4 linked regions of the Anolis sagrei genome follow. The protein of the gene in region 2 interacts with the protein of the main gene of each other region in a pairwise test. Links are inferred from orthologs where the notes say so. Each region holds a gene or a part of one and is shown on either strand. Other genes may lie near its edges. The genes, in order: transcription cofactor HES-6-like, transducin-like enhancer protein 1, FOXA2 and TK1.

Region 1 (7,082 bases), on a different chromosome or scaffold from region 2:
CTGCTATTTGCCCCAGCTTCTGCCAACCTAGCAGTTCGAAAACATGCAAATGGGAGATCAATAGCTACCGCTCCGGTGGGAAGGTAACAACGCTCCATGCAGTCATGCCGGCCACATGACCTTGGAGGTGTCTATGGATGCCAGCTCTTCAGCTTAGAAATGGAGATGAGCACCACCCTCCAGAGTTGACACGACTGGTCCTAATGTCAGGGAAAAGCCTTTACCTTTACCTAACACCTCCCAACAAAGGATCCCCAGCTAGGCTTTGAAGCTACAAGGCCATTAAATGCTAATTAAGGTAGCCAATTGCAACATTCACACTTGCCTCAACCAGACAAGAGTTCTTTCTCCCACCCTGGACATTAATCCAAAGATATATAAATCCCACTTGCCTAGCTTCCAACAGACCTCTCAACCTCTGAGGATGCCTGCCATAGATGTGGGCGAAATATCAGGAGATGATGCCTCTAAGGAACATAGCCATACAGCCCAGAAAACTCATAGCAACACGGTGATTCCAGCCTTGAAAGCCGGGCAATAGAGACATCTCTCACCTGGAGACCTGCTCTGCTGCAGAATGCCTTGCACCCGCTTCACCGTCAGCTCCAGCACTTCGGCGTTTTCCATCTTGGCCTGGAACTAAGATTGGGAAGAGAGAGAGAAAGACAGACAGAAGGGCAGTGTGATCCTCCTCCTCCCCAGACCCATCAAAGCCCCTTTCCTTTGCCACCCACTAAACAAGGCATGGGCTAACTTGGGGCCCTCCAGGTGTTTTGGACTTCAACACCCACCAGTTTAAGCGGCTGAAGGGGAAAAGGAAGGAGCCTGAGGTTGTCATGAATGGTGGGAGTTGAAGTCCAAAACACCTGGAGGGTCCAAGTTGGCCCATGCATGAGCTATCTCTACCTACTAATTTGCATATTTGTTTTTTACTAGCTGTCCCCTGCCACTCGTTGCTGTGGCCTAGTCCATGAATATGTATTTTGTGTGTGTATATATGCATATATATGTGTGTATATATATTTGTGTATATATGTGTGCCTGTGTATATATGTGGTTTTGTGCATGCGCTGTATTGGGTTTTTTGGCTTTGTAAGTCTCTTCTGCTGTGTTTTTCAGTGTTTTTATGAGTGATGGTCTCTTGTTGGCCTGATAGGTGTATTGTGTCCAAATTTGGTGTCAATTCATCCAGTGGTTTTTGAGGTATCCCATAAACGAACATTACATTTTTATTTATATAGATTTATTAACTGTATTTATATACCGCTTTCCCAACCCGAAGACGACTCAAGGCAGTTTACATTCGGCACAATTCAATGCCCCCCAACATATAAATACAATTAAAAAGATTAGCATATAAAACACGATCTAATATCCACAGGAAGGGTGTTCCATAGCCGAGGGGCTACCACAGAGAAGGCCCCCTCTCTCTTTCCCGCCAAATATGGTTTCTATTTGCCAGCCTCAATATTCTAACATTCTTAAGTGACTGAGGGGGAAAAGGAATGAGCCTGAGGCTGTCAGGAATGGTGGGAGTTGGAGTCCAAAACACCTGGAGGGCTGAAGTTGGCCCGTGCACGAGGTATCGCAACCTACTAATTTGCATATGGTTTCTAATTGGCTAGCCTCAACATTCTAAAACTGGAAGGCCCTAAGTTGGCCCATGCATGAACTATCTCTACCTACTAATTTGCATATGGTTTCCGATTAGCCAGCCTTAACATTCTAACATTCTTAAGTGGCTGAGGGGGGAAAGGAAAGAGCCTGAGGCTGTCAGGAATGGTGGGAGTTGGAGTCCAAAACATCTGGAGGGCTCAGGATTGCCCATGCATGAGCTATCTCTACCTACTAATTTGCATATGGTTTCCGATTGGCCAGCCTCAACATTCTAACATTTTTACACGGCTGAGGGGCAAAAGGAATGAGCCTGAGGCTGTTAGGAATGATAGGAGTTGGAGTCCAAAACACCTAGAGGGCCCAAGTTGGCCCATGCATGAGCTATCTCGACCTACTAATTTGCATATGGTTTCTAATTGGCCAGCCTCAACATTCTAAAACTGGAAGGCCCTAAGTTGGTCCATGCATGAACTATCTCGAACTACTAATTTACATATGGTTTCTGACTGGGTAGCCTCAACATTCTTAAGTGGCTGAGGGGCAAATGGAAAGGTCCTGAGGCTGTCAGGAATGGTGGGAGTTGGAGTCCAAAACACTGGAGGGCCGAAGTTGGCCCATGCATGAGCTATCTCTACCTACTAATTAGCATGTGATTTCTGATTGGCCAGTCTCAACATTCTAACATTCTTAAGCGGCTGAGGGGCAAAAGGAATGAGCCTGAGGCTGTCAGGAATGGTGGGAGTTGGAGTCCAAAACACCTGGAAGGCCCCAAGTTGCCCCCCCTCCCTCTGTTCAAGGGCCATACCTCCGTATCCGCCAAGATCAACCGGAGTTCTTGGAGGCTCTCGTTGATCCGCGCCCGGCGCTTCTTCTCCACCAGCGGCTTCCTCGCCTGGAAAGATGGGACAGAGGAGAGTCAACACAGGCAAGTGACACCCCAATGGTGGACGGTGGGACAGGCAAGGCGCCCCTCCAAACCCCTCTCTCTCCCTTTCTCTGCCTGCTCACCCTTCTGTCTCCTCTCCTCTCCACATCCTCCTCCTCCTCTTCCTCCCGGCTCTTGCTGGGCCGAAACGAGGGCGTCATGGTCCGAAAGCGGGGCTCGGGCGACAGTGCGGCCAAAAAAGAAGGGGGAAAAAACCCAAATCCGGAGAGCGGAGCGTAGTAATGACGGCAATGGGCGGGGAGAGTGGGAGGCCGTCCGCAAAGAGGCTCCTTTTTTCCTCGGCTCGCCTCCAGCTTACTCCCCGCCCCTCTTTTTTTTCCAACCCCTGCAAGCCGTATTTATCAGCTCTGATTTGCATATCAATGAGTCTATTGGACGCGGCGCACCGAACGTTGGGAGGATCCTCCAATGGGAGCCCGGCGCTTTGTCTGCTTAGGGCGTTCGGAGAGGCTTGGGAGGAGGAGGAAGACTAAGAGGGGCTTGAGTAGGGAAGGAAATACCGTGCCATCTTACCCTTTCTAGGTAAAGGTAAAGGTTTTCCCCTGACATTAAGTCCAGTCGTGTCCGACTCTAGGGGTTGGTGCTGCTCATCTCCGTTTCAGAGCCGGCGTTGTCCATAGACACCTCCAAGATCATGTGGCCGGCATGACTGCCTGGATTGCCCTTACGCTTTCTATAAACAAAAAATAAGGGTTTGTATTGTCGAAGGCTTTCATGGCCGGAATCACTAGGTTGCTGTGAGTTTTCCGGGCTGTATGGCCATATTCCAGAAGCATTCTCTCCTGACGTTTTGCCCACCTCTATGGCAAGCATCCTCAGAGGCTGAGAGGTCTGTTGGAAACTAGGCAAGTGGGGTTTATATCCAAGGTGGGAGAAAGAACTCTTGTCTGCTTGAGGCAAGTGTGACTGTTGCAATTGGCCGCCTTAATTAGCATTTAATAGCCTTGTAGCTTCAAAGTCTAGCTAGGGATCCTTAGTTGGGAGGTGTTAGGGGCAATGGTTTCCCCCTGACATTAGGACCAGTCGTATCCGACTCTGGGGGAGAGGGGGGTGCTCATCTCTATTTCTAAGCCGAAGAGCTGGAGTTGTCCGCAGATGCCTCCAAGGTCATGTAGCTGCCATGAGTGCATGGAGCGTCGTTATCTCACCGGAACAGTACCTATTGATCTCATATTTGCATGTTTTTGAACTGCTAGGTTGGTAGAAGTTGGGCTAACAGCAGGAGCTCACCCCACCCCTTTCGGTAAGCAAGTTCAGTAGGTCAGTGGTTTAACCCACTGTGCCACCAGGGGCTCCTGGGAAGTGTTAGCTGGCCCTGATTGATGATGATGATGATGATGATGATAACTTAATCTTTGTATCCCACCATACATACAGCCAATAGCCTGACATGGTAAACAATTGAGCTCAGGCAAGCACAACCAGGCTTTGAAGCTGCAAGGTTATTCAGTGCTAATCAAGCTAGCCAATTGCAACATTCACACTTGCCTCAAAAAAAACACTCGCCCTAGACATTCCACAGATATATAAACCCCACTTGTCTAATTTCCAACAGACCTTACAACCTCTGAGGGTGTCTGGCATAGAATGTGGGTGAAACTTCAAGAGAGAATGCTTCTGGAACATGGCCATACAGCCCGGAAAACTCACAGCAAGCCAAATTAGGGGTGCATCTATTGTAGAATTAATGCAGGTTATCACCTTGGCTGATACCCAAACAGAGGATGGTCTGGAGATGTCACTGCCTTGGTCCTTTCATTGCTGGCTTCTACTTCCCGGCAGATACCAGGTGGTGCAATACTGGCTAAATAGTATAATTTCTCCAGTGTTGTGGGACGTAGACATCCTGTGATAATGCGGCATGTCTTATTAAAAGCCACATCCACTGCTTTAATGTGGTGCGATGTATTCCACATTGGGTATGCGTATTCAGCAGCAGAGTAGCAAAGCGCAAGGGCAGGTGTCTTCACTGTATCTGTTTGTGATCCCCAGGTTGTGCCAATCAGTTTTCTTACAATATTATTTCTAGCACCCACTTTCTGCTTGATATTCAAGCACTGCTTCTTATAAGTCAGAGCATGGTCCAAAGTAACTCCCAGGTATTTGGGTGTGCTGCAGTGTTCCAGTGGGATTCCTTCCCAGGTAATCCACAGAGATCAAGATGCTTTACATGGATTAGTAATCAGCTGGTTTTCCCTGTGATAGGCAGTAAGACCACCTAAAGCTTCAGAGAGCTTCTGTTCAACCATTTCAAAACTCTCTGCTTGAGCAGTGATGGAATCGTCAGCGTAGATGAAACTTCCTGAACCTTCTAGAAGTGACTTGCAGTTGAAGTGGTGTTAAACTGCTTTAATTTTCTCAGTTGACATAGAAGAACTGGAGAGTAAGGTTGAAATTCACTCCACCATGCAAAGACACTGGATGACCTTGGGCAAGCCATACTCTTTCAGCCTCAAAAGAAAAGGAAACTCCCTGTTATATGTCATCCCGAAAAGGGATCATGATCAAAAGAAAGCCAACATCAGTATTGGACTGTGTCTCTGGAGACCAGGGTTTAAATTCCTGCTTGCTGTGAAAACGTACTGGGTGACCTCAGGCAAGTCACACTCTCTCAGAGGAAGGCAGGGGCAACCTCCCTCTGAACAAACCTAGCCACAACATTCCTGTTTGTTTTAGGGCCTTTTTTAGTCACTGTACTGACATTTCTTAATCTGTTTTCATTTAAAAATGCAATTATAGTCTATACAAGACATGGGCAAACTTGGGTCTTCCAGATGCTTTGGATTTCAACTCCCACGATTTCTAACAGCCTCAGGCCCTTTCCTTAGTGAGAGTTGAAGTCCAAAGCACTTGGAGGGCCCAAGTTTGTGCATTCCTGTTCTGTAGGCGTTCAGCAGGGGCAAGTACCTATTTGAGATCTTGGGCTATTTTCGTTCTCAAACAGTGAAAGCATGAATGTGTAAAAGTAATAGTATATTGCTGTACTGTTGCTGTGTATCTTCACACCTGGAATATTGTGTCCAATATTGACAAGCTGGAATGTGTCCAATTTTTCACATTATCTTTGGTCACACTCCATTTTTCTTCTGTTCCATCATACAAGTGGCAATATCAGTATACTACTGATACACTGATATCAGTGTATCAGTAATTCTGGGAACCACAGTTGAAGGGAGATGTTGACAAGCTAGAATGCGTCCAGAAGAGGGCAACTAAAATAATCAAGGATCTGGAGAACAAGCCATATGAGGAGCGGCTTAAAGAGCTGGGCATGTTTAGCCTGAAGAAGAGAAGGCTGAGAGGAGACATGATGAGGGCCATGTATAAATATGTGACGGCATGTCATAGGGAGGAGGGAGCAAGCTTGTTTTCTGCTTCCCTGGAGACTAGGATGCAGAACAATGGCTTCAAACTACAAGAAAGGAGATTCCATCTGAACATTTGGAAGAACTTCCTGACTGTGAGAGCCGTTCAGCAGGGGAACTCTCTGCCAGAGTGTGGTTTCCTTCTTTGGAAACTTTTAAACAGAGGCTGGATGGTCATCTCTCAGGAGTGCTTTGAATGCAATGTTCCTGCTTCTTGGCAAGGGAGTTGAACTGGATGGCCCATAAGGTCTCTTCCAACTTTATGATTCTATGATTCATATAATTTCTCAATTATGGTACTCCTAAAGTGAACCGTATCATGGGAATTCCCTGGTAGAATCCATTTAGAAGGGGGTTGCCTTTGTCTCTCTTTGAGGTTGAGAGAGTATGACTTCCCTATGGTTATCCAATGGGCTTCCATGGCCAAAAGGGGATTTGAATCCTGGTCTGGCAGAATCCCAGTACAACACTCAAACCACTACATCATGCCATGTTCCTGAATAGAAAACTGGCACAGTCAAAAGCTGTTTTGAATGCATCATGAAGAGCCCATTGAACACTGCATTCACAGAGTCCATTAACATGACCCATGAATGCTTAGAAAGCAAGCTCTTCCTAGAGTTCACTCTTCTTTTACTGCAGCAGTTAAAAAATTAAATTGCTGCTCTTTGTGGGAAGTTCTCTTTCAAATTTTCAAAAAAACCAAACCAGCATTGTTTCCCCTCTAGAAATATCCCAGGGGGAAAGAGGGTTGTGTGTATTTGTTCCTATGAATAAATATCATTTCTCCCCTCTGAAAAGCGCTCTTTCTACTCTTTTATAGGGAGATACATGATTGTTTCTCAACAATGGCACACTCATTGTCATTAATGCCCTGGGACGTACGAAGTCATGAGTTATAGAACAGCAAGAAAGACAATTAGGCTACATTCGTGCATAGCAGTATCCTATGAAGATCTGGGATTTTCCAATTTGCATATATAATCAGGCATGTAGCTGGGGGGGGGGGGGGCTTGAGGGGCTCCAGCCCCCCTCCCCCCAAATTCTCAGGGTGGTCCGCAAGAAGGCCTTACTGGTACATTAATTAAACTGTTATGTTTATTCATATCATGATCTGATCACCATGCTCAATATGTCCCATATGCATGGAGGTA
Region 2 (7,562 bases):
AGCTACAGTGGGTTGCTGTGAGTTTTCCGGGCTGCATGGCCATGTTCCAGAAGCATTCTCTCCTGACGTTTTGCCTGCATCTATGGCAGGCATCCTCAGAGGTTGTGAGCTTGTTGTGAGCTTTGTTGGAAACAAGGCAAGTGGGGTTTATATATCTGTGGAGTAATGTCCAGGGTGGGAGAAAAGAACTCTCATCTTATGGAGGCAAGTGTGCATGTTGCAATTGGCCACCTTGATTAGCACTGAATAGCCTTGGAATAGTCAGGAAAGAATGCTTCCGGAAACATGGACCTACAGCCTGGAAAACCCACAGCAACCCAGTGATCCCAGCCATGAAAGCCTTCGACATCACAGCAACTAAAGTGCTTGTTTAAAGGCGAAGTAAATGCATTTATACGTTGTAATATGTTGTAAGCCACTTTGGGTCCCGTGAGGGAGAAAAACAGGATATAAATAAAGATTTGTTGTTGTCGTTGTTATTTGGAAGAGTAAATGTTATAGAGATTGAGAATCCCTTGTTAGAAAATCCGAAATGCTCCAAACTCCAAAAACATCCCACGGGTGTCTTGAGTGACAGACACCTTTGCTTCTGGGTGCCTCGGGCATACCCAAACTTTGTTCCATGCACAAAAAATATTGTATAGAAAATTACCTCCATTTTAAAATACAAAACACTGCATAGAAAAGTAACTTCAGACTAAGTGCATATGTATGGAACAGCAATTAATTTCATGTTCAGGCTTTGGGTCCCACCTCCAAGATCTCTCAGCAGTCCAATGTTTCAAAATCCCCCCACCAAACAATTCCCAACCAAATATTAAGCATTCGAGTGACCTGCTCCAATACCACATCTATATAATGCCATAGCATATGCCAACTTGGAGCAACTTGGACTCTCCAGGGGTTTTGGACTCAAACTTCCACCATTCCTAACAGTCTCAGGCCCATTTCTTATCTCCACCTCAGCCGCTTAAGCACCCTAGACATTATTCCACAAATAGACAGATAGATAGATGATAAACCCCACTTGCTTAAGCGGCTGAGGGGGAAAAGGAAAGGGCCTGAGGCTGTTAGGAATTGTGGGAGTTGAAGTCCAAAACACACCAAGGGCCCAAACTGGCCCATGCCTGATATATATACTATGTGTGTATTCTATCTGTACACATGCAGAGACACACTAGTTTGGGGGATATTTTAGTATGTATCCCAATGGGTGAGTCATTATACTATAGAGTGAATGTAGCCCATGACTGATAATGTATGTACACTCCCTCTCTGTCTCTCTCTATACACACACGCGCGCACACACACAAACTAGTTTGGGGGTATTTTAGTATCACAATGGGTGACTGATTCTACACTGTAGAGTGAATGAAGCCCATGCCTTATATATATATACACACACACACCATATATATACTATACACACACACTAGTTGAGGGGCATTTTAGTAACCCAATGGGTGAATCATTCCACACTGTAGAGGCTGTATGGCCATCTGTCAGGGGTGCTTTGAATGCAATATTCCTGCTTCTAGGCACGGGGTTGGACTGGATGGCCCATGAGGTCTCTTCCAACTCTATGATTCTATGAATGCTGTCCATGCCTGATATTTATACTATATATATATCACACACACTAGTTTGGGTAATATATATATGCACACTACTTTGGGGGGTATTTTAGTATCCCAATGGGTGATACACACACATACTATACATATATACATATACACATACATACATATATATACATATAATATATATATATATATATATATATATATATATATATATATATATCTCACACTAGTTTGGGGGTATTTTAGTATCCCAATGGGTGATACACACACACACACACTAGTTGAGGGATATTTTAGTATCCCAATGGGTGAATCATTCTACACTGTGAATGCAGCTTGGGATCCCGGGAGTTGTAGTTTTCTCGGGGCACATCTACACCAGGCATGGTCCAACTTGGGCCCTCCCTCCAGGAGTTTTTGACTCCAACTCCCACCATTCCTAACAGCCTCAGGCCCCTTCCTTTTCCCCCTCGGCCGAGTCCAAAACTCCCTGGAGGGAGGACCCATAATGTTTCAAAGGGATTGAAGTTTCCAAGGTTCATGCGCGCTTATCCATTTCTACGGGAAGCATTGCCCGCACAATAATATTATGATCAGTCACCACCATCACCATCCCAGAGGTAAAGGGTAGTTAGGATATACGTTACATTATAGAGAAGACACGCGTGTTGGTGGGGAGAGCGGGGGCCACTTACGGGGTGCCGGCTTTGGGGGAACATGGCTGTGGGGGAAAGGCAGCTCCCCAAGTCCTCCTCCTCCTTCCGAAGTTTTCAGGCCCGAAGCGAAGCCCTGGCGCTCAGCCTCTGCGGCTCCGCATCCTCCCGGCGCCTTTGTTCCTTCCTTCCTTCCTTCAAGAGGGGAAAAGAGGCCCAGAGCGGGCTTCGAACCCGGAGAGAGCGAGACGCGGCCTTCCTTCCTTCTTTCCTTCTCTCTTGCCTTGCCTTCGGCTCCAACTTAACAAGCCAGGAAACGGGACGAAAAGCGAGGCTGTTTTGTTTTCTTTCTTTCCCCGAAGGAATCAAATATGGAGGATCTCCCAACACGGCTCCAAACCACCAAACAAAAGCCCCGCGCCGTCCAAGGCAAGGCCGAGGCCACACTGGGGTTATTATCCCAAAGCGAGGAGAGAAAGGCGCCGCAGCAGCAGCAGGAGCAGAAGCCGCCTCATCCCCGTCGGGCCGCTCCTCTCTCTCGTCTCCTTCTTCTTCTTTCCCTCAAGTTCGTTCCCTCGGAAACACACATCCAAAGCAAGGGAATCAGATACGAAATAGATCCGAAATAATAGAAAAGGACAAAAGGGGGGAGGGGAGGGAGGGAGGGAGAGCAAGAACTCCGCGGGACAACGCAACTCAATAAACGGCACCCAACGTCTCCTCCGCCCGCGCTGGTTACATTAACACGCGGTTTCACACTCCTCGAGCTAACCAGGCTCCTCGGCCCCGCCCCGAAAGCGGATCGCAGCCAATGGGGTGCTCGGGTACCAACGTGGGGCTGTGACGGGACACCAATGAGAGGGCCGCTTTGGCAACTCAACGCCGCCCCCTTCGCCCCGACTCTGTCCCCGCCCCTCCTCCTTTTCCGAGGAAGGCTTTCGAGGCTGAGCGAGGCTGAGCGGCAGGACCCCTCCGAGCGAGCCAATGGGAGGCGGTGGAACGCTCAGACAGGGGAAGGTCGGGGAGAAGGAGAGTGGCGAGGCGGAGGTGTCAATCAAAGTAACGTGGGGCAGTGAGAGAGAAAGAAGGAGAAGGAGAGAGAAAGAGATGACTATATGGGGCTCTCCTCCTCCTCCCCTCCACCTCCGCCCCGCTTTCTCTTTTATTATTATTATTCCTTTACCTTGCCCGGCTCCCTCTCTCTCTCTCTCTCTCGAAATCTGTGGAAATAACACAGGGAGATAAATAATGCATCCCTGGTCCAGGACAGGCAAGGGCTGGAGGAGCCAGGTGGAGGCTGCCCTGTTTAAGCGGATGGAAGGACGAAAGGAGGCAGAAGAGATTCCCCTTCCGTTTGTCAGAAGGAACCAGAGGGCCACCAAGAGGAATGAGGCCCCGTTTACATATATATCTCTCTCTGTGAACACATTTATATTTATAACGGCGGTCCAAGCAGTCATGCTGGCCACATGTCCTTGGAGGTGTCTATGGACAACGCAGGCTCTTCGGCTTAGAAATGGAGATGAGCAGCGCATCCCAGAGTCGGACATGACTGGACTTAATGTCAGGGGAATACCTTTACCTATACATTTATATATACTTTCATTATATATATATATATATATATATATATATATATATATATATAGTGGAGCAGGCAGGCCCGTAGCCAGGATTTCGTGGGGGGGGGGGGGGGGCTGAATTTTTTTCAGGCTGAGTCTGAGTGAAAGAGGGTCTACCCTAGCAAACCTTTTGTATCGTTACTTCAGTACCCCCATGCATATGGGATATATTGAGTATGGTGATCAGATCATGATATCAATAAACATAACAGTTTAAATAATGCACCAGTAAGGCCTTTTTGCGAACCACCATGAGAATTTCCGGGGGGGGGGGGGGGCTGAAGCCCCCTGAGGCCCCCCCCCCCCCCCCCACATGCCTGGGAGCAGGCATCCTCAAACTAATAATAATAATAACACTTTATTTGTACCCCACTACCATCTCCCCAAGGGACTCGGTGCGGCTTACATGAGGCCAAGCCCAAATACAACAATACAAGCAATAATAACAACAATACAAGCAATTAAAATAAAAAACATGGACAATACAATAATGCAACATTAACAATAAGACCACACGATTAAAAACGATGGGAAGGCCAAATGTAAAATTAAAATTGAAAATAATGCTGGAATATGGGCGCAAAAAGTGATGGGGCGTTTGTGGAAAACATACAAGCAGACCTAAAAAATATTAAGTGCTTTGGCGGACAAAGTGCAATGGGATCATTATTCTGGGGAGGCTCCTCCTAAAAACTGCGGCCCTCCAACTGTTTGAGCCTTCAACTCCCAGAATTCCTGATAATTGAACAAGCTCATTTGAGAACAGTTGCAGTAGAGTCTCGCTTATCCAACCTTCGCTCATCCAACGTTCTGTATTATCCCTTCGGGGGGATATAAATATAGGGTGGGGTATAAATATAGGAAATAAATAAATAAAACGCAGTCTGCCTCCCACCCGGATCCACCGCTGTTTCAAAACATTGCAATGTTTTGGTGCTAAATTTATAAATACAGCCATTACTCCATAATATTACCATATATTGAACTGCCTTTTCTGTCCATTTGTTGCAAAACATGATGTTTTGGTGCTTAAATTGTAAAATCTTGATGTAATTTGATGTTTAATAGGCATTTCCTTAATCCCTCCTTATTATCCAACGTTTTCGCTTATCCAGCGTTCAGCTGGTCCATTTACGTGGGATAAGCAAGACTCTACTGTATGTGCTGCTTTGCTTGAGGGTATCTTGTTGGAAATATATTCTTTTGGGTCTTCCAGGGCTGATTCAACTAATCCTTCATGAAAAGGTAGTACAGGTTGCTACTGTATTATTGTTGTTGCATTTTGGGTTTCTTTTTCTCTAGTCCTTTGCCACAGACTGGCAACCAATGTGTTGTGAACTAGGACTGGCTACTGACCACCACTTTAATCTTGTAATAATGATACTATAATAATGTACTCTACTGTACATACATATACACCAGGCATGGGCAAACTTCAGCCCTCCAGGTGTTTTGGACTTTGACTCCCACAATTCCTAACAGCAGGTCCAAAACATGTGGAGGGTTGAAGTTTGCCTATGTCTGATCTAACCTAACATCCCATATAATTATAATAATCATTATCATCACCATTTTATTACTTATCCACCTCTCCTCGTGGCTCAAGGTGGGCTACAACATAGCTAAAAACACATAATCATCACAAACATTATATAAAATACACATATTAAAATGTATTTCTGCAAAATGCCAATATTAAAAATACACAGAGCAGAGATTAAAATACAATGAACACAACACATGATTCAAACTATCCAGGTAGGAGTGTGTATGTGTATATGTGTATATGTGTGTGTGTGTGTGTGTGTGTGTAGAGAGAGAGAGAGAGTAAAGGTTTCCCCTTTACCCTTTGGAGTGGTGCGCATCTCCATTTCTAATCCGGAGAGCCAGAGTTGTCTGTAGACACCTCCAAGGTCATGTGGCTAGCATGACTGCATGGAGCACCATTACCTTCCTGCTGAAGTGGTACCTATTGATCTACTCACATTTGGATGTTTTAGAACTGCTAGGTTGGCAGAAGCTGGGCCTAATAGCGGGAGCTCATCCCGTCCTGAATTTGAACCACTGACTTTTTGGTCAGCAAGTTCTGCAGCTTAGCAGTTTAACCTGCTGCACCACCATAGCCCCTTCATACAGAATAGAAGGTCATAATTCAGAGATCATGCTTATTTCAGTAATAGCTAAATATTCTGCATAATAATAACTTTTAAATAGCTACATGAGCAATTGTTTGCTATTAAACAAAGGACTGATTGAAAGTGTTCACAGATCTAAGGATCACTGCAGCTGCTGGAGTCTTTTAAGAGTTCGTATGGATCTAAGGGAAAGAGAAGAAATCAGGTTGGCAGAAGCCGGGCCTAACAGCGAGAGCTCACCCTGCTCCCCAAATTCAAACAGCCAACCTTCTGGTCAGCAAGTTCAGCAGCTCAGTGGTTTAACCCACTGCGGCACCAGGGGGTCCATACACACATATATACATGTACACATAAACACACACACTCGTATTTATAATACAAATGCTCGCATACTCTCAGCTAACCAGTACTCTCAATCTGAACTTTTAAGCAAGTGACAAAAAATAGAAGAAATCACACTTTAAATAAACATTAAAATGCATGTATGTATGTATGTTACTGTAAAAGTGTGCTAACATTCAGTTTGTCTGTACTGTATTTGTCTTTCTTTCTTTCTTTGCTATATTTCAATATTAATATCGTCAACATAGAGTTTTCAGCAGTTGTATAGTATTAGGCCTATTTTTAAGATTGCAGCCAGACCACGATCTTTTACCAGGGAAGGCTAAATTGGCTGTATGGATCTTTTAATTAATGACCATTGCTATATTTTATTGATTCTATTGATCTTGTTATTTTTATATGTTTCGTTTTAAATGTGTTGCTGGTTTTAATTTTGCTATATTGTATTTTATATGTTGTATGGCACCATTGTGTGCTTGTAACCCATCGTGAGTCCCTTTTTGGGAGATGGTGGCAGGGAATAAATAAATAATTATTATTATTATTATTATTAACTCTGAAGAAACAAGAAACTACATTTCTCGAATATTCAGGCAGACGACCTCGTCAGAGATTCTTAACTAGTCCATGGCCTTGTTTTCTTTAAAAGGGATTATCTTTTAAAGGACTATCTTTTAAGGGATTAAAATTAAATCTCAGTGCAGACTGACTCATCCTTTGTAAGCTTCCCTGTCCAGGCGCTGTGTTGATCCTCCCACCCCTTGAAGAACTTGCAAAGGTAAACAAAGTCTTAGGGTGCGTCTATACTGTAGAATGAATGCATTTTGAGATAGAATGAATGCAGTTTAACACCATGTTAACTGCCATGGCTCGGTGCTGTGAAATCATGAGAGCTGTAGTTTTACAGGCATTTAGCCTTCTCTGCCAACAAGTGCTGGTACCTCACCAAACTACATATCCCAAGATTCCATAATACAAAGCCATGGCTGTTAAACTGCACTAATTATACAGTGTAGATAGGCCAGGGCAGGAATGACTCCAGAGCTCCCATTGTCCTTTGCCTGCAATGGGAATGCTGGGACTTGCACTCCAATCATTATTGGAATCCTGTCCTCCCCTTTCAGAGAAGATTTGCTATGGTGCCATCAAGCCACCACATTCCTGTCCCTGCACTTCATTAGGGCTTCAGAAGAGATTGTAAAAACAGTGTAGAAAACAACCTGAGGA
Region 3 (7,047 bases), on a different chromosome or scaffold from region 2:
TGGAACATAGCCATACAGCCCGGAAAACTTACAACCCAGTGATTCCCGCCATGAAAATCTTCGACAATACATTATTATTATTATTATTATTATTATTATTATTATTATAATATTGTTGTTCTTCCTGAACTATCAATATCTTTCCTAATCGGTTCTATCATAAAAACATAGGAAGAGCATATTAAATTGCAAAAACTTGTGTTTTTGCAGGACATCCTGCAGCACACCTTGGATTATTTTTCAATGAATACTCATTAGAGTCACAACCAATTCAGCCTAGATTGCGGCAGACACAAACCCGAAGTTTCTCGAGTATAACAACTGCTTTCCAAGTAAGTAGTGCCGTACAATAAAACAGGAAACAACACTCTAAAACCAGAAACAGAACCTTTTGCAAATTTTGTGACATAGTGATAATAATCAACAGCATTCGCAAGGCTTGCTTAAACAGCCTGTATGTGTCAGGAGCGACTTGAGAAACTACAAGTTGTTTCTGGTGTGAGATAATTGGCCGTCTGCAAGGACGTTGTCCAGGGGGTGTTTTACCATCCTGTGGGAGGCTTCTCTCATGTCCCCCCATTAGACGCTGGTGCTGACATACGGGAGCTCACCCTGCTCCCTGGTTCCGCAAGGGTTTATTTATTTATTTATTATGGACATTTATACCCTCTCCTATCTCAACCTCCGCAAAGGGATTGCGCCATGGGGGCTCCTGACTTTCTATTTGGTGAATCATAGCTGAAGCATTGTCTGCAGAGTTCACTACACAGCCTGCACGTCCAATTGGTGTGTACGGGTGGCATTCAGAAACCTTTTCCCTGTTGCCAAATTTTGGGTGATCCCAACACTGAGCGAAGGGGATCAGGAAACCCCAAACTAAAGCTGGCTCCAAAAGACAATGGCAGCATCTTTATATGAAGAGAAATTGGTTGTTCAATGTTTTTTGCTCTCCTAGCATAAGCCCTCCTAACATATTGAATAATGCAACTCTGAGATCTCAAGATTTAGAAACAACTTGTTTAAAAAACATTAGAAATTGTGATATGAATGGAAGTTTACATACCACAATATAACTTTATATCCTAGCTATGAAATATTTATAATGTTTCAGATTGTTTGTGTCGACACAAATTTTGTATGTCATGGTCAATATACTTCTCAGCCAAGCCTTTGGCTGAGAAGCCCCACAGAAATCGTCAACATTTCTGGATCTACACTGCCTATAATTCAGATGACCAAAACAGATAATCCACATTGTCTGGATTATATGAGTCTACACTGCTATATAATCCAGTTCCAAAGCAGATAAGGATTTTATATGGCAGTGTAGAAGGGCTCTCTCTCTCGATTAAATGCCAAAAGGTGCCTGGATCGTGTCCATAGTTAGCTTCTGGTCCGCAAAGGCACCTAATTGAGGCTGGTTCTCCATTGGCCAATAATGCAATTTAAATGATCAAGGTAGACCCATATATCTTGCAATTCAAACAGCATCATATAGTTCTACCCTGAGCATTTAATGTTCAAACTACATTATTGGTCAGAATCTATGGCTGGTATTATATGACAGTATAGGGTTGGATCTACACTGCAGATTAACGCCATTGAACTGGATTATCTAAAGCTACACTGCTATAGAATCCAGTTCAATGCAGTGAGTTAATCTGCATTCCGAAACGGCATTATATGGCAGCGTTCATCCAGAATGAAAGAAAGCGTGAAAGAATAGGACCTGGGTGTTAATCCCACCTAAGTGGGATTCCAGTTTTCTTAATAGCTTGGGTTCCCACTCTTCCCGTTTTAAATCTCAATTTTTTTTCAGTGGGAGGTCGCCTATTAAATGTTTAGGATCGAGATTGGGAAGATGGGGGGGGGGAGGGGGTAAAGGAATCAGATGGAAACATCAAAAGCTGGTTTATAGGTTTCGGAAGAAGCATTAGGGATCCCTAATGCACCTTGCTTAAGATCCCTAGGTTAAGATCCCTAATGCACCTTGCTAAGGAGAAAACACCTCACTACCTCTGCCATAGATGCAGGCGAAACGTCAGGAGAGAATGCCTCTAGAACATGGCCATATAGCCCGCAAAAACCTACAACCTAAAAAACAGGTTGACCGGGAAGGAAGGGCATCTGAGACCAATGGGACTTCTTTCCCATGTGTTTAGAATTGGAGAAGGAAACGGAAGCTGCAGTTTTTCCAGCTGGACTAGGAGAGTCTACTCTTCCCAAGTGTGTAATGTTAGCACAGCGAGCCGGATCTAAGACGGCAAGTTGCCTTCCGATGTGCCTTTCTATCCACTGGGTTGGAGGATTGGGTTTCAAACCGAAGTGGAAGTGGCGTGAAACTTTTCCGCCAGGATGTTGGAAAATGTAGGATATCGGGCAAAAGTCCTTGTGGGGCGAAGGAGAAAGTTCAGGTGGGAAGTGTTCCCCTTCCACCTTGATGACTTCCCCGCTCGAGGTTGGCCATCCTCCCTCGTCCCCCCGCTTTCCCCGTTTCCTTCTACCTCCCCCCATGCCCTTCCTCCCCCCCCCCCCCCCCATCCCCAAACCCAACCTCTCTGTCTGCCAAACACAACTTTGTTAGGATAGCGCGGCTAGGCATGGCAAAAGGATTTGGAGGCTTCGCAAGTCAATATTTGATCACAAAGTTAATATTATCTCAAGGCTAACACCGCGTTGTATAAAAAGCGGGCGAGGGAGAGCGGCGGCGAGGGAGTCCTGTGTGTTTTTTTCCGCAGGAGGAGGCGGCTTGGGGATTGGGTGGGGGACCCACACACAAACACACACAGAGAGAGAGACCCACAGAGAGAGAGAGAGAGAGAGAGAGAGGCACATCCGCGCGCAAACAAGACCCGCGTTGCCATTTACCTCGGGCTCGCCGTAGTAGTTGCTCCACTCCGCGTGCTCGTGTCCTTCCATTTTCACGACTCCCAGCATACTGGAAGCGGAGTGCATGGCAGTTTAAAATTTAACAGCCACAACAAGCGGCGACGGAGGGGGAGAGAGAGGGAGAGAGAGAGAGCGCCACCAAAAAAAAGAGGGAGAGAGAGGGAGAGAGAGGAAAACAGCCCCCTCCCTCTTTGCCTCCCTCCCTCCTTTTCCCTCTCTCTCTCTCTCCCTCCCTTCCTTGCTCCCTCCCTCGATCTGGGGGGAAAAGAGGGGGGCGAACTCGCTCAGCTTTGGGGGTTCTCCCTGCTGGCGATTTCGACGCCTTGCTGCTGCCGCTTCGGCTACTGCTTGGGTGGGTTTCGCCGGGAAGAGTCGCCCAGAGCCGAAGGCAAAGGCGAGGAGGAGAAGGGAGGGAGGAGGAGGAGGAGGAAGAGGAGGAGGAGGAGGAACCCAAGTGCTGCAGTGACGTGGGCGCCGGAGAGATATAGCGGCCGGCGGCCAAGCGAGCCTCCAATCCCCAGGTCCTCACCCAGCCATTTGAATAAGCAGCAGATCCCCGCCTGCCTTGGGATTCCCTCGCCCCCCTTTCCCCTTTCCCCTCTTCTGTGGGCCCTTCCCAACAAGCCTAGGTCTCAGAATATCAAAATTCCACAAGATTTGTCTTGAAATGGGTTATCTGAGTCCACACTGCCATATATTCCAGTATTGTGGGAGACACCAAATTGGGAGGGATAGCCCGTACTCCAGAAGGCAGCAGCAGAATTCAAAACGATTTTAACAGATTAGAGCAGGCGTCCACAAACTTTTTAAACAGAGGGCCAGGTCACAGTTCCTCAAACTGTTGGAGGGCCGGATTATAATTTGAAAAAAACGAACGAGTTCCTATGCACACTGCACATATCTGATTTGTAGTGCAAAAAACACTTAAAAACAATACAATAATTAAAATGAAGAACTATTTTAACAAATACCTATAAACTTATTAGTATTTCAATGGGAAGTGTGGGCTTGCTTTTGGCTGATGAGATAGAGTTGTTGTTGTTGTTGTTGTGTGTTTTCAAGTAGTTTCAGACTTGAAAACACACAACCCTGAGCAAGGGCCAGGTAAATTACCTTGGAGGGCCTTGGAGGGCCATATCCGCTCCCTCCCCTTAGTTTGAGAACCCCTGGATTAGAGAGATGATTGGCCAAAACTAAGAAAATGAAGTTCAACAGTGACAAATGCAAGATACTCCACTTAGGCAGAAAAAATGAAATGTAAAGATACAGAATGGGGGACTCTGGTGTGAAAAAGATCTTGGGAGTCCTCATGGACAACAAATGAAACTTGAGCCAACAATGTGATGCTGCCGCAAAAAAACCAATGGGATTTTGGCCTGCATCAATAGGAGTCTAGTGCCAAGATCCAGGGAAGTCATGCTACCCCTCTATTCTACCTTGGTCAGACCACACCTGGAATATTGTGTCCAATTCTGGGCACCATATGTGGACAAGCTGGAATGTGTCCAGAGGAGGGCGACTAAGAATGATCAAGGGTCTGGATAATGTGGGATTTCCTGCCTTGATATTCTGGAACATAGGGATGTATGTAAGGGCCCTAAGAGCCTTAGGTCCCTTCCCAGTCCTGACCCCACAGTTTAATTTTCAATGTTCAGGTCCCAAGAACATTTGGCAATTGTCAAACTTTTCTCAATTGTCACCTAGTGGCTGTTTTAGGCACTGGCATGAATCCCTTGTGCTGTGTTTCCAGTGGACTCTGCAGCAGATGCTTGAGCTGTACTTCATAAAAAGGAAACCGGCCTGTTTAGTAAGCCTTGCAAATACTATCGTCAATGTTAGGGTTTTATATATCTATATATTCCTATATATATATATTCCTATACCTATTTATATATCTATATATTCCCTGGGGTCACATAAACATTTCTTGGTGTCCAGAGTGGAAAAGTTGAAGAAGTCCTGAGCTAAGAGATTTTCAAGGCTGACAGAGACCCCTTCTACACTGCCATATAATTCAGGGCCCTTCCAGACAGGCCCTATATCCCTGGATCGGATCCCAAGTTTTCTGTTATCCCAGATTATCTGGCAGCGTGGACTCATATAAAGCTGAAAATCTAGGATTGGATCCTGGGATATAGTGCCTTCTGCAAGGACCCTCAGATTTTCAAGGCAAATAATCCGGATTATCGGTTTTGCACTGGAACAGTGCTAAACAGAACCGCCTTCCATCTGGAAACCATTGTATTCACTGTGGAAGAACACGCAGGTCTAGAATAGGTCTCCACAGTCACCTATGGACCCACGCCACAACCCTATGCTTGGAAGTCCATCCTACTCAGACTCGCAGTTATCCCCAATGATGATGATTATGACTACCATATAATTCAGTTCAAATCAGATTGTCTGGATTTTATATGGGGCCAGAGATTCAAACCCAGGGCTCCTGGGACTAACACTCAAACCACTAACTCTCCAGTACAGTACAGGGTGTGTTGACCCCGATCTACAACAGGGTTTTGTTGGCCAGGTTTATTCAAAGCAGGTTTATCCTTGGGGTTGAGAGAATATAATTTGCCCAAGGTTGCCCAGTGGGTTTCTATGGCTAACTTTCCTCCTCATAGTCCAACACTCAAGCTTCTACGCCACACTGTTTCCCTGTAAAAGTGAAGATAAAGGAGTTGTGGGTGCACTTTTCCTACTTATTCAGACACTTTGAAGTAGTAGACTCAGGGCCCTTCCTCTTTCAGGCTTGATCTGAGCCCTTGCAAATGCTATGGCTTGTACTAAGTTAATTGTGAAGGAAGCTGGTTGATATCACCAGCATCATGAGTCCCAATTTACTCCTTTAAAATAACTGATGCCCCCCCCCCCCTTCCAGACAGGCCCTATATCCCAGGATCTGATCCCAGGTTTTCTATTTATCCCAGATTATCTGGCAGTGCGGACTCATATAATCCGGTTTAAAGCAGAAAACCTGGGATGGGATCCTAGGATATAGGGCCTGTCTGGAAGGCGGCTATCAGTTACTTTAAAAGGGTTAATTTGATGCTCATGATGTTGGTGATGTCAACCAGCTCCTTTCCCAATTAACTTATTACAAGCCATAGCATTTGCAAGTGCTCAGATCAGGCCTGAAAGAGGAGGGAGGGAGGGAGGGAGGAACATTGACTTTTTTCTTTCAATATAAAATAATAAACTCTGAAGAGACCTGGGAAAGTGCAGCTCACTACCCAGAGCCAGCATGCCTCACAGAGGAACAATTGATAATAATCACACTAAAAACACAGTACTGTGGCAGCTTCAAATACATTGTGTGTGTGTGCTTTCAAGTCACCCATCTGTTTAAGTGAATTCTATAGGGTTTTAAATACTCAGAGGCGGTTTGGCCAGGTCCTTCCACTGAAATGGAGCCGGCTCTTTGAAAAGTTGGGCATAAACTTTTCAGATGTGCGAAGGGCTCCGTGCTTCGGTTTCAAGAGCTTTGGGAAAATCCCATGTCTTGAAGATGCTGTTTTTGCGGCTCTCTCTCCGCCCCACCTCCTGGAAATGGTATGACTCTATCAGAATAATTACCCACCATTGTCTTCAGGATGCCTCTTCATCACACTAGAGAATAAATCAATTTAAAATCCGGTTGCTGCCTCCTGCAGAATTCTGGGATTTGTAGTTTAGGAAGGAGCCTTTAACAGCCTCACTAGACTACACACCCCAGAATTCTGCAGGAGGTAGAAACCGGATTTAAAGTGGATTCATTCTATAGTTTGATGAAGTTCTAAAAACCGTCTTCGGTGCGAGATAGGGGAGGAGAGAGTAGCGTGGACGCGGATTATTCGATAGAAGATAATAGGTACTGGTTCTGGGGATGACCAGCCAGTTAGTCGAGAAACCTGAATGGAGCCTCTATGTCCAAGAGCAGCATACCTGGGTGGTTGCTCTGGCAATGCTTTGGGCAACCTCTAGGACAGGGCTACTGAACCTTTTCCACTCCTGACCCCTTTTAAGTGACCCCAGGTATATAAAATAGGTATAACATTCAACATTAATGCTAACAGTAAGTAATATTTTTCCTAGTTCCAACAGACCTCACTACCATTGAGGATGCTTGCCATAGATGCAGGCGAAATGTCAGGAGAGAATGCCTCTAGACCATGGCCATAT
Region 4 (7,086 bases), about 99 Mb from region 2:
ACATAGAACAACATACATGTATTTTGTACCCACGGTTGTTTTTTGATCAAGCAAAAAGAATTACATTTGAATTTTCTTTCTGTTAAGGTGAACTGTATATACAATGCCTTTAGCGCCTCACCTGTCATGCGTGGAAACTCCATTGACACTGTAGCGCATGTCCTTCGCGTACTTGATCAACAGGCACTTGTACTGCGCAATCTGGAAACGTCGGACTCTGCGCATGAGTTCGGTACTGCAAAAACAAGAAGGGAGGCTACTCAGGAGTACTTAGCACCCAGAGGAGGAGGACTGAAGCACAAAACTAGTGACTTTGATCACCCTGCCTCAAAAAACCCATAATGCCTGCTATCTCCCCAAATCGATCTCCCTGCCAGGCCCTTTGATTAACGGCATTCCTTACAATTTTACCATCAGAGAAACAGCAACATTATAGGTCTGGACAAGGCATGGGCAAACTTGGGCCCTCCAGGTGTTTTGGACTTCAACTCCCACAATTCCTAACAGCCTAACAGCCTTTAAGAATTGTGGAAGTTGGTCCAAAACACCTGGAAGGCCCAAGTTTACCTGTGCCTGGACTCTGAACATGTGAGTCCAGGCACACAGTCCAATCCCAGCTTTATAAGAAAGATAGGCAATTATTGCTATTTTCTGGTTTCCCCCCTTTCCTTACAGTTTCCATCAGCCTACCCAGCAGTAAGGAATTTGGGGAGTTTTAGTCCAAAATAACCAAATATAAAGGACACCAGTTACCTGTCCCTGCATTACAGGAAAGAAAGTGCATAGCCAGTGAAATAAAAGTAGAGTCATGGCTGACCTTCCTGGGAACAAAGATGCCACCAAGTGTGGCTCAAAACACACTCTGGCACATATCTTAACAAATATATAATCCATCAAGATATGCTTTGGTTCCTTTTTGCCTAGGTTTCTATATCACAGCCAGTTTATAGACTTGCCTTTCCCATATCAGTTTCCTCCAAATAGTTTGAACTTCTGGGTTGCTGTGAGTTTTCCTGGCCATACGGCCATGTTCCAGAAGCATTCTCTCCTGACATTTCACCCACATCTATGACAGGCATTCTCAGAAGTTGTGAAGTCTGTTGGAAACTAGGCAAGTGGGGTTTATATATCTGCAGAATAATGTCCCGGGTGGGAGAAAGAACCCTTGTCTGCTTGCGCAAGTGTGAATATTGCAATTGGCCACCTTGATTAGCATTAAATAGCATTGCAGCCTCAAGGCTGCTTCCTGCCAGGCCTTGAGGCTGCAAGGCTATGTAATGCTAATCAAGGTGGCCAATTGCAACATTCACACTTGCCTCACTTGGAGGTGTTACCTCACCCTGATTGAATCTTATCTGGAATTCCCCTCTTTTGTTAGTGTTCTTCTTTATCTACTGCCCTGATTTTGGAGTTTTTAAGTATAGTTAGCCAGATTTTTTTTTCATTTGCATGGTTTCCTCCTTTCTGTTGAAATTGTCCACCTGTTACTGAATTTCAGCAGCTTCTCTGTGTAGCCTGACATGGTGGTCGTTAGAGTGGAGGAAACTATGAAAATTTTTAAAAAAACTCTAAAATCAGGACAGCAAATAAAGAGCAACACCTACAAAGCAGGGGAATACCAGGCAGGAATTCCAGCTAACACCTCCCAACAAAGGCTCCCCCAGGCAGTAAGCAGCCAGGCTTTGAAGCTGAAAGGCCATTCAGTGCAAATCAAGGTAGCCAATTGCAACATTCACACTTGCCTCCAACAGACAGGCGTTCTTTCTCCAACTCTGAACATTATTCTAGATATATAAACCCCACTTGCCAAATTTCCAACAGACCTTACAACCAATGAGGGTGCTTGCCATAAATGCAGGTGAAACATCAGAAGAGTATGCTTCTGGAACGTGGCTAGAAAACTCACAGCAACCCAGTGATTCCGTCCATGAAAGCCTTCGACAACAGTTTGAACTTCCATTCCCAATGCTCCTATCAGGAATATAGGGAGCTGTAATCCAAAAAACCTGGACTTTACCACCTTCTGTGGCATTTTATGAAAGTGCAGGCAAGAACTATCTAGTCCAACTTCTGCTGTGCAGGAATTCACAGTTAAAGCTCACTGAGGCTGGATCTACATTATATGATCAGAATAGAACCATACAATGCAGTTTAATGTAGTTAAACCACATTATTTGGGTCTATACTAGGCATGGGCAAACTTTGACCCTCCAGGTAGTTTGGACTTCAACTCCCACAATTCCTAACAGCCTACTGGCTGTTAGGAATTGTGGGAGTTGAAGTCCAAAACACCTGGAGGGTCAAAGTTTGCCCATGCCTGGTATATATTGACCATGCAATGAAATTCCAAACTGCATTAGATGGCAGTGTAGATCCAGCCTGAGGGATTATCATGAGAACACTAGTAAATGTAATTGATAGTACTTGAACATGTAATGAAACCAGAACCCAAGTCACAGTTGTGTTCAGATACATGTTCATTTCATCTCTCTAACATACCTTTTCCCGGAGAACATGGGTCCAAAGATGACCTAAAGTGGGGAAAGAGAGAAAAAAACCGTGTTGAATTTTACCCCGTTCGTGTATTAGTTGGTCCTCCTTATCCACGGTTTCTGTATCCACTGATTTCCCCATCCACGGCTTGAAAATATAAAACCAGTCACAAAAAAAGGATGCCTTGATTTTCCCAACGTTATATAAAGGACACAATTTCCCCACTCCATTGTCTATAAAGCCCCTGACCCATAATTGCAGACCCTGCATCCCAAACTCTCATTGACCCCCCTGCCCTCCCCAGAAATATCTCCTTTTCCTACCTGGATCTGGCCCCGGGCCTTGCGAGGCGACCCCGGCTGCACCCCTGGCATCATCAAGCAGTTCATCTTCCCAAATCCCGCCGGTGTTTCAAGGCACAGACGCTTGAATCAACAGCCTCTCCTTTCAGCGCGCCGTTTTTGCCCTCTTTTATAGCCGGCGCTGACAATGGACCAATCAGAACGGGCCCTGGCACCAAACTGGCGCTCGAAAGACACTTCGGCGCGTCCTGGCCAATCACAGGCCAGGCGGGAAAAAACTACATTCGAAGTGGTTGACCGCCTTCGCCTCCAGAAGCTAAAGAGGGAAGTCTTCCTCCTCTCATGTTTTGCTGATTGGGGAAGAGGCATACACACACACTTCCGGAACTAGTCTTTTGAAACTCTTTGGTCTTATCAAAACGTCATTTTCTCCTTTGTTTGCGGAGACTTTCATCTTCATAGAATGAAACAGCTTGACCCCCGGCTCAATACCATGGAATCCTGGGAGCTGTAGTTTTCCAAGGCCTTAGCCTTTCCTGCCAAACTACAAATCACACTATTCCTTAGTAGTTAAAGTGGTTTGCAGTTTCTCAAGTCGCTCCTCACACGAAAAAAAATATTAAAGTGGGTTCAAAGCCTAAAATGTATTGTCGAAGGCTTTCATGGCCGGAATCACTGGGTTGTTGTAGGTTTTTCCGGATTATATGGCCATGTTCTAGAGGCATTTTCTCCTGACGTTTCGCCTGCATCTATGGCAAGCATCCTCAGAGGTAGTGAGGTCTGTTGAAAATACTAAACTGGGTTTATATATCTGTGGAAAGACCAGGGTGGGACAAAGGACTTTTGTCTGCTGGAGCTAGGTGTGAATGTTTCAACTGAATGTTTCAACTTGATTGGCATTGAATGGCTTGGAAGTGCTACACAGACTACACAGATAAGCCATTGAAATCCACAAGCATGTGGACAATTTCAACAGAAAGGAAGAAACCATGAAAATGAACAAAATCTGGCTACCAGTATTAAAAAACTCAAAAATTACAACAGCAAAACAGCAGAGAGTAAACAACCAGGCACATCAAATCACTCTCAACAAAAGATTCCCCCCAGGCACTTCCAAGCCATTAAATGCTAATAAAGGTGGTCAGCTGAAATATTCATGTAGGGGACCCCCTGCTTGGGGTCCTTGCTGAGTCCGTCACAGAGGGCAGCAAAATGAAGAGAGTCTAGTCTCCAGAGGTAAAGCAGAAAATCTCTTTATTTCAAGTGTGGCCACACAGGGAGAAACAGCCCAGACAGACCAGTGTCTTCAAAGAGAGCTGTCTCTGATATTTGGATATTTCAGTCTCCTTATATACATGTCTTTTCACTGTGTCATGGGCACACACCTCTCTTATCGGATCAACCATTCAAAAACATGTTTTTCTCATATTTTGCCACTTCAGTGTCTTTCACTGCTAACCTTCTACAAACTACGTAAACACACACATTATTGTTACAGATAAGCATTTTGGGTGTTAACCCACCCTGAGTACTCTCTAGGCGAACTTGACAATACAGTATCTTGTGTCTTCCAGATTCATTATCTCCTCTTAGCTTTTGGTCTTCTGCAGGCCAGAGGAGAGGCACAAACCCCTCTCTAGGTTTGCATTTTAGAATTTCAACATTTCTGAGTTCTGTTAGCCCCTTCACTCCTCCATTATTTTTTTTTTTGCGAAAGCTGATCATACAGAAGCTGAAGCAAGATCAATATCTAGTTATAACATTTTTATGATACCCCAGCATTCTTGTAATCACCACCAATTGCCACGAAGTGGGAACCGCACTTGTGGTGAACTTATCACACATCTTCATGATGATGGGAAAATACATCAAGGAGAGCTCTCGTGCACACACACATTCATTCATACTCATGCACACACAGGCCTTCTCCGGCAAAGATGATCAGTCTTTTCTGAGGAAGCGTGGACACTCCATTGCTGCAGTTCAGGAAGCATGGAGATTGTCAGGGGTCCCCTGCATTTATAGGCCAAAATCCATTTTTCTTCATTTCAACAGCAGGTTGCTCTGTCCTCTTACTAAAGGACAATATGTCTTTGTTCTCTCCAAAGTTCAAGACATTAGCATTCCAGGCCTCATGACTTATGGGGTACCTCCTGCACTCCTTACATGCTCGGCCGCATACCTCATTGTCCATTGTTGTTCAGTTATGCCTTGCTGCCTCCTCGCTTCGACTGCCAAGTTCATCCCATATCATGCCTTGCGAGAACTCCATGTTGGTTTTTCTTCAGGCCTGTTTCTTCTCTTTTCCATGCATTCAAACATTCATTCCTCACATATTCCTCCCCTTGATACATAAATGCTAATTTATCGTATCACATACATGATCCATACATGATAAGCAATTCAGTGTTGGTTATACTTATAATCAAACTTGATTAAGTGTAGAGTACATATGTTTAGGTTAATATTGAACTTGTATGATTAATCAAACATCATAGTTCATAAATGTGTTTCTAAACACGTTAACTTGTTTTCAAATATAGATAATCGATTTGTCAATCCTGTCATTTGTCTAAGAGGCCATAAGATCCAAATGATTGGCAGCAATATAAGTATCCCTATCCATACTATTAAATGTATCCTATGAAGATATCATACCAGTGGTGTTCTGTGTTTCCACCAATATAAATCATTAGGTGATATAGCACATAGGCATTACATTCCATTGTCATATACCATTGTTTTGGGCTTTAGCTTTTGTAACCTGCAGATTGCATCTGCCATTTCCAATGCACATGGTTCAACTTGTTTTACTGTTAAAGGACATACATATCCCATTTATTGCATCTATCAATATCAATTATTTCATTCAAATTTGTATATTTGGACCTTGTGCATATGGTTTTCTTGGATAACAAATATGGAACCCAGAACCATTTTCCCACATGCATAGGCATAGGAACTATATCACAAACCAAATTTTTTTCAAATATTGACCATTTTTCCCAAGGTTTCCAGTTTCAATCTTAGTATATCATCTTCCCAAGAATATTTGACAAGCTTACTCCATCCTTTATAATCTGTTCTTAACCAATAATGTAATTTTGTTAATTCTAGGAAGGCTTCTGAGTGTCCTCCCATTATTAACATCAACATTTTTCTCTCCAATCTCTCAAATTTATTTCCATAGTCAAACAACTCATAGACTTACTTATTTGTTGTAAGGTTTCATTTTTAGCTTTCATTAAAGCAACCAAGGAATGATTCAGCTGGTCAAATATACTTAATTGCAATCCGGCAGTAATCCCATGTACCAAAGCTGTACTTCTCTATTTGAAGCTCAATATTCTTCATCCGTTGTATTCTGTGTCTTTCCTTCTATCACTTGGTTGATCTGATTCAAAACATCATTTCATCCTTATTTTTTCTATACCCTTTATACAATAAATCTTACACTTTATACCATATATTGCTTTCATTTGTGTTAGAGCAATTGTTCTTTACCAGTCATGTATTATTATTATTATTATTATTATTATTATTGCACTCCTTAAAAACTATAAAACACAAACAATACATATATTTACTGTTCCAATTAATAGTCCAATTGCAATTTTTTTCATAAGCTTTGCATCCTTTTAATTGGTGGCCAGTTGCATTCCTGTTTAGAAACCAAATAAAGGGGGATATGATAGCCATGTATAAATATGTGAGAGGAAGCCACAGGGAGGAGGGAGCAAGCTTGTTTTCTGCTTCCCTGGAGACTAGGACGTGGAACAATGGCTTCAAACTACAAGAAAGGAGATTCCATCTGAACATGAGGAAGAACTTCCTGACTGTGAGAGCCGTTCAGCAGTGGAACTCTCTGCCCCGGAGTGTGGTGGAGGCTCCTTCTTTGGAGGCTTTTAAGCAGAGGCTGGATGGCCATCTGTCAGGGGTGATTTGAATGCAATATACCTGCTTCTTGGCAGGGGGTTGGACTGGATGGCCCCTGAGGTCTCCTCCAACTCTTTGATTCTATGATTCTATGATTCTATGAAAACTGTTAATTAACTTGCACAGCTTTCCAAGTTTTTCCTGGTTCGGATGAACCCACTTCTATTTATCATTAGCCTGTAATCAATAAGGATGAGGATCTTCTGCTCAAAACTGCAAACACTTTATGAAAACTATCATCAATAAGAGTGAGACTAAATAAAATCTAAAATTACATATATCATGAATGACTTTTCAATGATTTTAAAGCATAGGTTCTTTTTAGTGCAATTTCCAGTGTGTGAAGGTATATAAG

The links.
Region 1: the proteins of transducin-like enhancer protein 1 (region 2) and transcription cofactor HES-6-like interact in binary tests that used the Homo sapiens proteins (3 or more experiments, as listed by UniProt). The link is inferred for Anolis sagrei from reciprocal best matches to the Homo sapiens genes TLE1 and HES6.
Region 3: the proteins of transducin-like enhancer protein 1 (region 2) and FOXA2 interact in a two-hybrid assay, tested with the Homo sapiens proteins (2 studies listed by BioGRID and IntAct). The link is inferred for Anolis sagrei from reciprocal best matches to the Homo sapiens genes TLE1 and FOXA2.
Region 4: the proteins of transducin-like enhancer protein 1 (region 2) and TK1 interact in a two-hybrid assay, tested with the Homo sapiens proteins (2 studies listed by BioGRID and IntAct). The link is inferred for Anolis sagrei from reciprocal best matches to the Homo sapiens genes TLE1 and TK1.

What each region holds. Positions count from the first base shown.
Region 1 is NC_090023.1:229,029,147-229,036,228, reverse strand, and holds the start of transcription cofactor HES-6-like, read right to left. Parts: upstream 3,014-7,082; 5' UTR 2,704-3,013; coding exon 2,626-2,703; intron 2,510-2,625; coding exon 2,423-2,509; intron 640-2,422; coding exon 555-639; intron 1-554. UniProt on the Homo sapiens protein: Does not bind DNA itself but suppresses both HES1-mediated N box-dependent transcriptional repression and binding of HES1 to E box sequences.
Region 2 is NC_090022.1:227,808,717-227,816,278, forward strand, and holds the start of transducin-like enhancer protein 1, read right to left. Parts: upstream 3,003-7,562; 5' UTR 2,303-3,002; coding exon 2,231-2,302; intron 1-2,230. UniProt on the Homo sapiens protein: Transcriptional corepressor that binds to a number of transcription factors. Inhibits NF-kappa-B-regulated gene expression. Inhibits the transcriptional activation mediated by FOXA2, and by CTNNB1 and TCF family members in Wnt signaling.
Region 3 is NC_090024.1:140,313,628-140,320,674, forward strand, and holds the start of FOXA2 (hepatocyte nuclear factor 3-beta), read right to left. Parts: upstream 3,015-7,047; 5' UTR 2,956-3,014; coding exon 2,869-2,955; intron 1-2,868. UniProt on the Homo sapiens protein: Transcription factor that is involved in embryonic development, establishment of tissue-specific gene expression and regulation of gene expression in differentiated tissues.
Region 4 is NC_090022.1:128,418,839-128,425,924, forward strand, and holds the start of TK1 (thymidine kinase, cytosolic), read right to left. Parts: upstream 3,015-7,086; 5' UTR 2,883-3,014; coding exon 2,817-2,882; intron 2,532-2,816; coding exon 2,500-2,531; intron 236-2,499; coding exon 122-235; intron 1-121. UniProt on the Homo sapiens protein: Cell-cycle-regulated enzyme of importance in nucleotide metabolism. Catalyzes the first enzymatic step in the salvage pathway converting thymidine into thymidine monophosphate.